Mytilus edulis: one gene and its partner. The protein of the gene in region 1 binds, or shares a complex with, the protein of each later gene. Links are inferred from orthologs where the notes say so. Each region holds a gene or a part of one and is shown on either strand. Other genes may lie near its edges.

What was found.
Region 2: probable tRNA N6-adenosine threonylcarbamoyltransferase (region 1) and EKC/KEOPS complex subunit TPRKB-like share a complex: the UniProt entries of both Homo sapiens proteins name them as parts of the EKC/KEOPS complex. The link is inferred for Mytilus edulis from reciprocal best matches to the Homo sapiens genes OSGEP and TPRKB.

The regions. Positions count from the first base shown.
Region 1 is NC_092348.1:62,725,627-62,732,897, forward strand, and holds the start of probable tRNA N6-adenosine threonylcarbamoyltransferase, read right to left. Parts: upstream 3,019-7,271; 5' UTR 2,854-3,018; intron 1,418-2,853; 5' UTR 1,416-1,417; coding exon 1,301-1,415; intron 562-1,300; coding exon 442-561; intron 248-441; coding exon 146-247; intron 1-145. Other genes in the region: retinitis pigmentosa 9 protein-like, read left to right, coding at 6,335-6,368, 6,810-6,904. UniProt on the Homo sapiens protein: Component of the EKC/KEOPS complex that is required for the formation of a threonylcarbamoyl group on adenosine at position 37 (t(6)A37) in tRNAs that read codons beginning with adenine.
Region 2 is NC_092344.1:90,406,025-90,412,925, forward strand, and holds the start of EKC/KEOPS complex subunit TPRKB-like, read right to left. Parts: upstream 3,027-6,901; coding exon 2,883-3,026; intron 1,384-2,882; coding exon 1,261-1,383; intron 691-1,260; coding exon 517-690; intron 1-516. Other genes in the region: coatomer subunit gamma-2-like, read left to right, coding at 3,229-3,268. UniProt on the Homo sapiens protein: Component of the EKC/KEOPS complex that is required for the formation of a threonylcarbamoyl group on adenosine at position 37 (t(6)A37) in tRNAs that read codons beginning with adenine.

The sequences.
Region 1 (7,271 bases):
GCTTTGACACATCTAGTTTTATATTTTTTTGTTGCTGTCTCATTGAAGTATTTCCCACATCTCCTTTGATTCATTGGTATGTAATTTTGTATTTATATGATAAATAGTGATCATGAAGTTGAAGTCTATATGCAGTTAAGGATACGTCCAATACAGTGATTTACTCCTATGATTGGCTTCTGCCATAACTGTGCTACTGTCCTCGCTACTATGGCAACAGATACTAATGGGGCACCCATTCCTGGACCTGTAAAAAACAATAAAATGCAAAATGCAAAATACACAATTAAAATTTCAATTTTATTTGACGAACAACAATTATCTTTATATATGACAATGACCCAGAATATCAAGTTATGGAAAAAACAATTAGGTCAAACCGAAAAATAAATTGGCAAAATCATGATATGTTAGTTAATAAAAAAATAATCTCAGACTGACCTTTTGTATAACACACCACATCAATGTGTTTTGGATCTATTTTAGCCTCATCAAGTGCTTCCTTTAATACAACTAGAACATTAGCTCGATGATGGTTAGCTGTGTCTCTGGGCAAAAAACCTGTAATCCCAAAAGGACAGTTTTATACTACATGTAGTACTAAAAGGATCTTAATTTAATATTTCAGTTTTTCTGTTTTAAACTTCTTTTATTATAAATGTAATACATTGTAATTCAAAGACTTTTATATATGGATGCAGGTTCTCATAGAATAATTAATATCAGGTATATTGGCAATTCAAAAAGTATATGACGAAAACACCAAACTGTACCTAACTTCCAATATCATGAAAATTTACTTTGACCTATACTTTTACAAGTTGTGACTTGGATGGAGAGTTGTCTCATTTTCACTTATAACATATCTTCTTTATATCCAAATACAAATTGCTCATATTTTGCTATTAATAGACTTTTTTCATATAACTGGACTTTTGACTCAAGATTAAATTTCCACAGGTCCCTTCTCTGTGATCATGGTGATAAGAAATCATGAAAAAGAAGAAAAATCAAACATATAATCTGTGCAATTTAAAGAGAAATTTTGCTGTTTTCACATGATTTTGTCATTTATAGACAACAAGAAACAGTAAATTTACTGATTTGAAGCTTGATTTTACTTATTGAAGTTGCTCTTACTTGACTGAATACCAGGATTTTCTACAACAGACAAAATGACAGATTAAGTAACCTGTCAATAAAATATAAACCTCAGAGTCAAAAGTCTGTAATATGAAATAGTTTATTGGCAAGTACTTATTTCAAAACCATGAATATCAAATTTTAAGTTTTTACATACCTTGGCCTGGTGGAGTTATATAGGTACGTCTTGGATTTGATAACACTTTTCCATCTTGTATTATACCAATTCCAATCTTATTGGCACTTCCTTCAAAGCCAATTGCTATTACCATTTCTATTTACAAGACAAGAACAAGAATATATTGATTGTGACCAGAAACAAGTATTCTTAAATCAAATATCCTTTATTTTTAATAGACAAAAAATCTGGTATAATGTTAAGTAATTGTTGATCCTGAAGATATAGACAATTAAAAATTTGGCTGGAAATGATTTCTAGATTTTTTTCATACATTTAACATTGGCATCTTTTTTCTTTAAAAAGTTATGAAAAATTAATATCAAAGGATTTTTTTTAAAGATTTTAGTCTTCAACAATGAGCAAAACCTATAAAGGATAGTCAGCTATAAAAGGCCCAGAAATGTCAAATAACAGGCTATTATTTGAACTTGGAATTATTATCAAATATCAATTATGGAATTTACATAATTTCTTTATTTGTTGTATTTTTTTTAATAAATTCCATGTTTATTCTATACTTTAATGTTCTGTGCTGTGCACAACACTTTCTATTACAAAGAAGATAGTACATTTTCAATAGAATGTACTGTGCCGTGCACAACACTATCTATACAAAATACATTGTATGGAAAGTGTTATGAACAGCACAAAACATTATAATACCAAATAAATATGGAATGAATTAAAAATTTCAAGTCTGTACACATATAAGTTTAAAGAGAAAATACACCCATATTTGTCCATTTGTTATGATGAACCTTATAAAAAAATTATGCAATTTTAAGGCTATAAAAGTGTGTCTCTCATCTATAATTTAGGTGTTCTATGGTATTCACCAGTGTAAAATGTGTTAAAACTGCATGGTCTAAACAAACAAAAGTCAATACATCTGTCAGCTATATAAGTGAGCAAATTGGATAAAATTCTAAATGCAAAAAATAGATTTAATTCAATTAAGGGGGTTCGCGGGTCTAAATCATTTATATAGGATTTCTCAATATTTTACTATAAATGAACTTTATCTTATAGTTAAGAGAAAAATAAAATAAAAAAATGGGGTCACCGTTCATTTGCACTCACAATCTGCCTTCGAAAGAAGCATACATCTTTGTAAAAGTGTTTTTTTCCTGTTGAACTAATAAGAGAAATAAAGGTAATATCGAAATAAAAAAAGAAATTCATTACAGAAATTGCTCAAATTTTACAATAATTTAGTTTAAGTAAAGCATATATAGAAATCATATTAAAAAATATAGGTCACCGATGAGTTAAAAGAGATATTTCAATTTTAAAGCCAAAAAATGGCATTTTTCCACCAAAGGGAGATAATTTGGAACTTTTTAGATGATGTTTACATTTTAAAAGTCATCTGGGGCCAACACGAATTAATTTTTTTAATTTTTTTTTTGTACCATATGATAAAGTAACAACTACAAATGGTAATAAATAAAATTTGTAATGAAAAACAAATGTTTATTTTTTTTCTGAAATTTTTATACCCTCGAGCCTCCTTAACTGCTTAAATTTACCTGCTTTAAGAAAACACACTGATAGCAATATGAGATATGGTTTTTAGTTTGTTGTTGATTAGTTTTTATTGGGAATATGTCTCTGGTTCATATCATAACTCCCATTCATGAGGGCTGCTGAGAAATTCTACTTTCAGTTTGTACTTTCGCTTTGTATTTTATAGTAACTGGAGTTTGATCCCGTACAGGTCATTCTTTTAACTATTATGAACCTAATTAAAATGGCTAGAATATTATACAGAAATTTTAATTTAGAACGAAGATTTTTTTTTTAAATTTTGTAAATCAATAGTCAATCTAATGTGTGCAAACTTTTTGTGATTTCTTTATTTTTATACAAAATTGTTCTTTCTTTTAGCAAATGTATACTAAAACTCGAAACGGAGACGGACTAGTATCCGATTTTACTGTGTTAGAGAAGCTTGGGGTAGATTTAAAATTAGGTATTTTAAATGTATCATAGACTTTGTGTATCATTCCTAGTTTGTAAATTATCACACATGAAATGAAAATTAGAAAAATGCTCTCAAGTTCAGAATCACAAACATGACATGCATGATGATAAGTTGAACAAACTATGAAAAGAAAATACAAAATTTTTACAGGAATAAGATCTCTTTACTGACTTTAGTGATTATTGAATTGTACGGTCTGCAACATGGAGCCTTGGCTCACACCAGAAAGCAAGCTGTTAAGGTCCCCAAAAATGACTAGTGTAAACCATTCACACGTGAAAAAGAACGGTCTAATTTATATTAAACAGGTTGGGAATAACTCTAATTGTGGTACTACATGTATATCCCAATTGGGGTATTATATCCTAATTGACTTATCTATGCATACCCTAATTGGCATATCAAACCACTCTTTCCCAGTTCTCAGACTCTCAAATGAAATTTCGCACTTTTTATAAACAACCCCAGTATTTAAGTTCATGAACTGTGTCAAATGATGTATAACAGGATTATGCTGACACAAGCTGCATTTTGTGCGTGCATATCATTTTAATTGCAATTTTAACAACATGGGACTATATAACGGCATTTTACTTGAATAAAATCATATCCCAAACTAAGGACAGATGCAAACATACATGTATGCTGTGGTTTTAAACATTTTAATAGGTTCCAACCTTCACCCTTATCTGAAACAATATTGTAACAAAAATTATACTAGTACATGTAGTATATTGGTATGTTATCGGTCGTCCCACTGTCTATATCACTCTGCTCAGTTCTTAATAAAATTGCATATTACGGCTTTGTGACGTCCAATATGTTGACCCGGACATATCAGTGACGTCATAATGCTTGAACCAACGTTGATAAGTTTGACCCGAACTTATCAGATCATCTTCTGGTTGCTGGTGTAGCTAAGAAAGCACTTCCAAAAGACCCAAATACAGCCTAATAAATCGATTATCAGGTTATTAGCATATTGATATTGTAAAATATAAGCTGCTCGACACAATATGAAGGCATTTTGATCTCGTTCCCTGTGCCTGTTTGACAAAAAGCTGTATATTGTGACTTGAAGCTGATATTTTACAATATCAACATGCAGACAACCTCATAATCGGTATGTCTTGGAAGTGTACTTCTTCATCTGTACCTATTTACTTCCAATTTTTAGACAGCATTAACAGTTCCAGCCAAGATTGATCAGCTCAGAGTCTGAATAGTGTGTCCGGGTTAGGTGACATATCTTCCTGTGGACTGTTTCCTTGTGTACTACAAATCTACATGTTAATAAAATTGTGTAGTGTGTCCATCTTGTACAAAGCAGACTAATATTCTTAGTTTTTAAAAATATTTATTTATATTGGATTGGGAAACAAGTTATTGCAACCTTTATTAATCCCTTTCCGTATTTCATTTACATGATCTCGTTCTAGTTCCAAATATGCATATTAATTTGCCACTGGACGTTAAGCAGCCATCCATCACAATCATTATCCAATTATTTAACACCTTTTCACTGAAATAATTTGCAGAATGAAGAATTATAAAAGTTTCTATTATATATGTAAGACTCAGATCAAATTGTTCATTCCTCAATTCAATGTCCAAATATGAATTCATAATAAATGAAAAATACAAATCAACTGCCTATATGACATGTATGATCTCTTATTAATGTCTTTTTGTCATTCTCAAATCTACGTTTAATATTTGGCTTCTCTAATCAATGTCCTTTTTACCAACTTGCTGCAATGATTTCACAATTTTATTTAAAGAAAATATTACTCATTGTTGAAGGCCTTACTGTGACCTATAGTTGTTAATTTCTGTGTCTTTAAAATTTGGTCTCTTGTGGAGAGTTGTCTCATTGGCAATCATACCACATCTTCTTTTTTATAATTACTGTCATACTCCTGATTTCGTAAAGACATATTATTCCAAACTCAAATGATCGTTGAACCTAAATACTCTAATGTTAAAAAAATCCAAATGATAATACTTTCAATATTTGATTTTATTTTTCTATATTCTGTCTACTGTAAATTCAGAAATTATTGCGATGTTTTTATTATTGCAAAAAATTCCACGGAGTTATAATCGCAATAATTTAAACTCGCATATTTGAATATTTTATATGATTTAAACAGGATAATTTATAATATCGCAAAAATTAAATCGCATTTTAGTTTAAATTACGAAATCACAATAATAAATGCACGCAATATTTTTAAATTTCTGAATTTCCAGTATTGTTTGACACTGTATAGTATTGCCCCTAGATGTCTTTACGTTATCTTTGTATTTGGATTCTGTTACATTGTCTTATATCCACATGTAATTTATTTATATGAAAGGAATAAAGCAACATTGATCTAGTTGGTTAACTTTTATTTATTTGAGATTGTGATTTCACATTCAATTAAAAGATACAGACATCCATCTAAGTCTAACAAATATGTATTTATATATATATATATACTAAATTCCATTGTCCACAGATTAAAATCTAAAAAACCAATTTGCCTTTATACAAGAAAAAGCAGGACACCCCTGTCTCTACCTTCTGCATATGCACATTACAGTTCATATAATTTATTGCTCTGTACACATATTGGTTTTTTACAGTAATTATGACAAATTTATGCTTTCTGTAAAACACAAGTCCTCTGCAAGTAATGCTCTGCAAACCAACTTTTTTACTAGGAGTTTGGTTATAGGGAAGTAAAAATTATGTGAACAATTATATAGTTTGCCATCTCATGTCAAATCTACTTTTCTTGTACTAAGCTAGGACTATAATACATTATGTATAAGCCCCTGTTATAAGATATTTATCAACAAGTATAAAATATGAATAAAAATAGTTTTGGAGTTATTGAACTTGAAGATAATATATACAACATGGAGGATGCAGGAATACTGTTCTTTTATTGCTTTTCAGTCTGTCTGAAAGGACATTTTCCATTGCAGAGTGATATATACCACAGGATGAAATGATTTTATCAGAAGAGTTGACATAAATGGATAGAGACAAGGATAAAGATTCAATTCAGTGTAAGAATAAATCCATATTTACCTTTTTTTTCTTATTTGATCGTTTCAGTTACATTGTGAAAATATTTTAAATGGAAAGGGGAAATAAGTCTAACCTATATAAGTGACACATGAACGATTTTTTGGAGATGAGTTTCTTGTATAATACAGATCATCTTGAAAATTAATATTTACAGATTCAGATATCACAATTAACCCCAAAAAAAAGAAAGAATAAAATGGCACTTTAATTAAAACTAAATTCTTGAATTGCTCCCATTCAGCTACATTGTCGCACACCTTGATGTGTGACATATCAGAACAGGAGCAATTAAAGGATTTGATTTTAATTAAATTTTGCACAAGGGGAACTCTAAGAAGCACTATCACTGTTTATAGGTTTCCAATACTTGTTAATTCTGTGATTATTTTTATTCTATTTAAAAGAAGATATAATTTTAGGTTTTTATTGTAAGAAGAATGGACACAAGAAAGACAAATGCCCTGAAAAAGGAAAACAGATAGAACCTCCACAAGTTCACCAAAGACTGAAATGGGTGAGTTTAAGGACTTAGGTGGTACCTAACACTACAGGAAGATAACTCTGTAAAATCAGCTGAACGTTTTAATTAAGTTGCGTTGTTAAGAGAATTTTATGCTTCTCAATGATCAAAATTAGTGTTTGTCAAACTGCTATATAACCAGTGTATTTCTTTCTAATAAAATGGTTGGTTCAAATTTTTTGAAATTTTTATATTTTTGTCAAAGGGTCAAAGTGAATACTTTGTCAAAATTTAATGAAAATTAAACGAGCCAAATTGATTTTAGTGAAAGTGTTAGGTACCACCTTAAGTTAAATTTCTAAGCATTGGTACCCTGTTAAAAATCTCTGTAGACAGTGTAAAAGATTGATGGATCCTAACA
Region 2 (6,901 bases), on another chromosome or scaffold:
ACTTGTCAATTGTTGAAGTAGATATGTTGAGTCCTAGTCAACTTTAGATTTTTCAGTCATTGAGTTGCTGTCTCACTGATCGATTCCACATACATTTTTATTCACATATGGTATATTTTGATTGATATTCTACAATAAACATCTATATTACGAAGCTCAATAAAAGTGTCTGAAAGATGAAAGTTAGGTCTGATAGGACAACCAAAATGATGCATAAGTATTTTGTATCATAAGCTTGATAATAGAATTGTAAGATTGGATGTCATGGATATTTTGGTTTATTGCACCAAAATGGTGGTCTGAATTTTTGACTTTATAGCATATGAATACAGTACTGCAACTATTCAAATTACTAAAACTTAATTTTAATTGTTTCTGTCCACCTTTTGCAATTAATTCAAAATTCTGATCCGAAATTGCAGTTTGTTTCATCAAACAAAACTTTTCAACTGGTCAGAACTTCAACCAGTTGCAAATCAGTTACAACCAATTTACTGTAATAGTATGTAATTTTACCTTCTGTATTGGCTTTGTTTCTGTCAAATGTATAACATCTTGCGCATCACTTAATTCTCCTTTTACACATTTACATATTGCTGACATGGTACTGCCATCTATGTCGTCTGCAACAACTACCATTACACTAGTTTCATTATCTGCTAAACCAAACTTCCGAAAAGAATCTGATATCTGTACAAAATAGGACATAATTGAATGAAATCAACTTTAATTACATATCACATAAAAACACACCAAATTGTTTTTAAATTCTTGTTATCCAAGTAATGACATGAGGAGGTAGGATTTTGTATTTCTTAGTTGTATAGTATGTCTGAAAACTTTTACAGATGAACAAACGCTGTAAACAGCAAAAACAATTGGCATTAAGATCAAGAAAAATGTAAGTATAGCTGAAAGCATCATTTGAATCCATATTTGAGGAATAATGAGTTATTGTTTATAAATGGGGTATTTTTTTTAACAAACTGCTGAACAACTTTAGCATTGTGCCTATCTTGTGAACTATATTATAACAGTTCAACAACAATTGTAAACAGCAAAATTGTTCATCAATGCAAGATATACAATTACATTTGTAAGTCCCGATTGGTAATAAGATTTTGTACATAACACTAGTATTTCCTAATTAATTTTTAGATAAATAAAAATATGGTTCAACTACATTTTTCAATGACATAATAATATTATTATGTTAGCCTTTACTTTTGTCTTTTTACTTAAATATGTTTGCATAATTACATTTTTAGTTGGTGATAGACAAAATAAGATTTCTGAATGAACATTCTTTGTAATCATCTTATTCTGTCTGTTCAAATGAATGGCTCTGTTTGCTGCTACAATTACTTGGAAAGGATCGCAAATCTACAAAATAAAAGCAATCTTTTAATACTATAATTATAATGTCTCTGCGTTATATCAATTGATTTTTTTCGGTAAGGATCAGGATCAAGATTTTTTTTTTTTATATGTCATGATAGCTACTGAAAAAAGTGACTTTTAGTCACATTGTATCCCTGCTCGAAAGTTGTATGTAAAAGCCAATATTTATAGTTGGATTTTCTAGAAATGTTAAGTTTGTAACTCTAATGGGCCACAAAGATTGACAAAGTGAGGAAAATAATTATGCTTTGAATTAAGACAAAAGATATCTGCCATGATCTTGGACCTGTTGCTTTCCAAAGAAATTGACAGAACCATATGGTAAAAGGAATTGAAGAAAAAGATACTATTGTGGCCTGCCTACCACAGCATGTGCAACTCATTACAGGAGTTGACCAAAGTGCGTCATGCACTTGATGTTTATCATGATCTTATTATGGCTTGGAGCTTTAGGCTACATATTTACCACAAGCTATAGCAATTGGAAAAGATATTGGCATACAAGGCCAACCCATGGTAAAATCAAGATAAACTTAAGCCTTTACAATATTTTTTTTCAATTATAATAGGACAAAGACAGCAATTCTAGTGATCAAAGCGCTCTATGTTTAATGTTCCTGTACTTGAATATACATGTACTATTATTATAACATTGAAACGAAGAAATTTGAATGATAAGTTGTTTTTAAACACAATAAAATACTAAAAATAGTTTTTCTACATAAGGCAAATGTTAAGGGTGTTTTTCTTAAATTTAATCTCAGATGACATTTCAGCACATAACACAAGAATGTAATCATCTCACATGAATGCTATCAAAGATTGAAGTTTAGATGACATTTCAGCACATAACACAAGAATGTAATCATCTCACATGAATGCTATCAAAGATTGAAGTTTAAAAATATTTGAAAAAAAACCCTGGTGTCTATATGTTACATGAAAGCCACAATAACAGGGTGAATTTGTATAAAGTCAATCAACCTTAATTATTGTAAATGGGAATCTGCAACACTTGAACTTTGTAGCACTTTTCCTTTTTGGAATTAGAAATTTGTAACAGGAACCTTTAAGATGTCCAGTTATTGCGGACAAGGTGTATCGAGCTATATAAGAGGGGCGTAAAAAGGGGAGGTGTATCTTCACAGGAGAACGTGAAATAAAATTGACATTTCACGATACATGAACAATTAAAAATGTCTTGCACGTTGATCTTTTTACCAATTTCACAAAACATGGTGAATAACGAACCTTTTTTTACAGCTGCATGTGAAATAAAAATAGCAAAACATGTTGCAAGAAAATAACCCATAACCACCCTCATATAAACTTCTACTGTAAATATTCCAGAACCTATTCAAATTTATGTTAACTTGCCTGGTTGAAGCCTATGTACTGACAGACACGAAGAAAGTGACTGAATGTGTTAATTTTGAATTCTTACAAGTTAATTACACCCATCTTAAATTCATCTAGCATACCATTGATGGCTTCAATAAAGCTGCTTCAAATGTACCATTCATCACGTTTTGTCTTACTTCTTTGGCATTTTCAACGTTTCTAAAGAGAGCAAGAGAAATAGTCGAATCCATGTAAAACTCATTCTTTAAGACTCGTATTGACATTTTGAAATTAAGAGAAAACGACGTGTTATTCGTCTAAACTTGAAGCAATACAAAAATTCGAGTCAATTTCTACTTTTATTTTTGACAGGAAATGAAAGTTTTTCTTACCTTCAGATGTGGGAGAGCTCCCCGCATGCGTAGAATTCATATTCAACGTGGAATAGAAGAACTTCCTGTCGGGTTAATATAATTTTCAGGAAAAATGCATATGCTTAGGCGTGATAAGAAAGAAGAGGAAGAAGGTAATTTTTAATTACTGACGATATCATCATCATTTACCAATAATTAGGGGACTGAGCCCGGGTTACGGGTAGCTGCGGAACCGTAACTCTAATGGTTCCTTTTTTTTTGAGTTTGCTAACCATAGTTGGGACCATACAGTCAGTGGCGGATCCATAAGGGTTGCACTAATGACAGGACGATTGCCCGGATAGTGACAGGACGGTTGACTGGATGAGATATAAATAGTCATAACTTTTTTGTTATTCAGTAGATTTGTTTAATATTTGTAGACCTTAAAGATATTAAAATATATTTTATGAAAATCAAACAAAATAAGTGAAAAAAAATATTTATAAGCAAATAAAGTTGACCGGACGGTATTCACACTCGCCGTTAAACGCTATACATATATTAAACTGGTCGGCAACAAGTGTTAATATCTCTTTTGTTGGTTACAATATTTGTCACAAAAATTCCGGAATCTGTGAGAATAATAAATATTAGATACGAAAATATAAATTTATAGTAAAAAAAAATGTTTTTCTCCATAAAAAGTTGACCGGACGGTATTCACATTCGCCAATATATGCTTTAAATATATTGAAATGATCAACACAAATGTTAATATCTCTTTTGTTTTACAATATTCGTTCATGAAATTCTGGAATCTATGAGATTTATAAATATTTTATACGAAAATATAAACTTTATGATAAACAAAAATGTTTTTCTGCCAAAAAAAATAATTGGACGGTGTTGTGTGTGACATTCGCCGATGTACACGTTGATTATACATGTATGTTAATAAAAAAAAATAATTAAGGATTAACAATATTTAAGCAGCTGATTTAAGTCATGAAACTGGAGAAATCTGCGACATCAATAAATATATGATATGTAAATATAAACTTTCTTGAAAAAAAAATGACCGGACTGAGGTTCCAAGGGTAGGGACATTCAAATAATTGTGCCTCCTAAGAGTCCGCGAAACTCTCAGGATTCACGATTTTGCGTAATATTTGTTCATAGTTTCTGGGTCGGGGTCTTGACGGCCGCCAGATCCCTCACCAAATGGCGAATATATCTTGCCTCACTTTTAAAAGAATCTAGTTAAGCCCCTGGATACAGTAGAAACGAATTCAATAGTAATCAAATTTCGAATGCTTTCGAAGAGAAAATGAAAGACTATAAGGTGATTTTTTTTTATAACTGAATTTAAATATAGTGACAGACTAGTTAGTGACAGTGCAGTATTATACTAAAGTAACTTTGTGTTCGATGCCCGTGCAAGGTAATCTGTGTCTTTTATTTTCTATCATAAAGGGTCAGAACACGACTTAATACAAGTTTACTCCTTCAATGTTATAGGTCTTATTGCAATACATTGTTGTTATTTTTTCAAATGATTTGATACCAGGAGATTGGTGATCTCACTTTAATTTAATCCATGTCAGACAGCTATCTAGTTTTATCTGAGATTTTGTATTGTTTAATAAAACGTGCATGCAATTCACTGTAATCTTTGATTGGATTCTAATTGCCAACTTGATTATATAAGTTAATTCAATTAATGTCTCAGGTGTGAAAACTTAAATGACATGATTATTGGCTTGATTGGTGATTACGACAGGTGTCAAAATTAGATAGTAATCTTAATTAAATAATAAATATTTTAAATATCAGGTCTTCTAGTGTGCTGGTGAACTTACTCAGGTCAACATTTTGGGCTCAAAGTTTTTATTATAAAGTGTATATTTATAGAGTTCACAGATTCCTTAATTTCATGGATAGATATTTAACATGTGTCGATCAGTACAATATATTTAAAGCATATATGGGCAAATGTGAATTCCGTCTGGTCAACTTTATTTGCTCAAAAATATTTTTTTTACTATAAATTTAATATTTTCTTATAACATATTTATAAATCTCCAAAATTTCTTAATTTCATCAGAGACATTATATGTCTCTGATTTCATGGACAAATATGGTAAAACAAAAGAGATATTAACATTTTTGTCGATCATTTCAATATATTTAAAGCATATATATCGGCGAATGTGAATTCCGTCTGGTCAACTTTTTTTGAAGAAAAACATTTTTATGTACTATAAAGTTTATATTTTCATATCAAGTATTTATTGATCTCTTAGATTTCTTAGTTTGGTGTAAAAATATTGTAAAACAAATAAGACATAACACTTTTTTTTATCAGTTCAATATAATTAACGCGTACATCGGCGAATGTGAATACCGTCCGGTCAACTTTTTATGGAGAAAAACATTTTTTTTTATTTTTTTACTTTGAAATTTATATTTTCGTATCTAATATTTATTATTCTCACAGATTCCGGAATTTTGTTGACAAATATTGTAAAACAAAAGAGATATTAACACTTGTTGCCGACCAGTTGAATATATGTATAGCGTTTAACGGCGAGTGTGAATACCGTCCGGTCAACTTTATATACTCAAAAATATTTTTTTCACTTTTTTTGTTTGATTTTCATAAAATATATTTTAATATCTTTAAGGTCTACAAATATTAAACAAATCTACTGAATAACAAAAAAGTTATGACTATTTATATCTCGTCCGGTCAACCGTCCTGTCACTATCCGGGCAATCGTCCTGTCATTAGTGCTTCCCGATCCATAACTTTTCCTAAGGGGAGGCCCGCTGACTGACCTAAGGGGGGCCCCGCTCCAGTCATGCTTCAATGATTCCCTATATAATCAACCTAATTTTTCCCACGAAAAGGGGGGGGGCTGCCCCCCCTCCTGGATCCGCCTATGGCAGTGGCTGATCAAGAACTTTTCCTAAAGGGGGGGGGGGGCTCCAGTCACGCTTCAGTGATTCCCTATATAAGCAACCAAATTTTTTCCCAAAAAGGGGGGCCCCGGGCCCCCCCCCTAAATCCGCCTCTGGGGGCACTGACTGACCTAAGGAGGGGCCCGCTCCAGTCATGCTTCAATGATTCCTTATATAATCAACCAAATTTTTCCAACGAAAGGGGGGGCTGCCCCCCCTTTACCCTGGATCTGTCTATGCCATAGATGTACAACTACAACCACAGGCACTTGTTTGGGAAGGTTGACTATCCATATTACATATCCCTATTCCATGGATAGAAACAAGTGCCTGTTGTACATCAGGTTGGGAACAAACCCTCTATATGGTAATTATACCTGCATAGAGGGATAATCCTTCTATAGAGGGGTAAAATTATCCTTCTATAGAGGGATATTTTTGTTTAGACTGGATTTAAATCAATATAGGGCAGAATGGCATTCTCTACTTATTATGGCTGGAACAGTTGATGCACCAATTGATGTACTTAATTTAATATGCAAATGCCCAGTTTGATGCTTATCTAACTAAATATAAAATCTATTGTTCACCATGATTGAAAGCTGTGATGATCAGGTAAATTCTACTCACTTATGCCCCACTGAACATAATTTCTATTGTTAGATTTAAATGAAATTTAAAGGTCAACTATTCCTTTTGTTGTTGATCAGGTGTTCAGATAGGTTTACAATAGATTGCAAGTTTTGTCACTTTAGCAGAAAACTGGTTATCCCAATTTTTAGTAAAGTACATATGTTGATGCATATAATGCTAGAGATTATAGCCAATATAACTAGAAAATG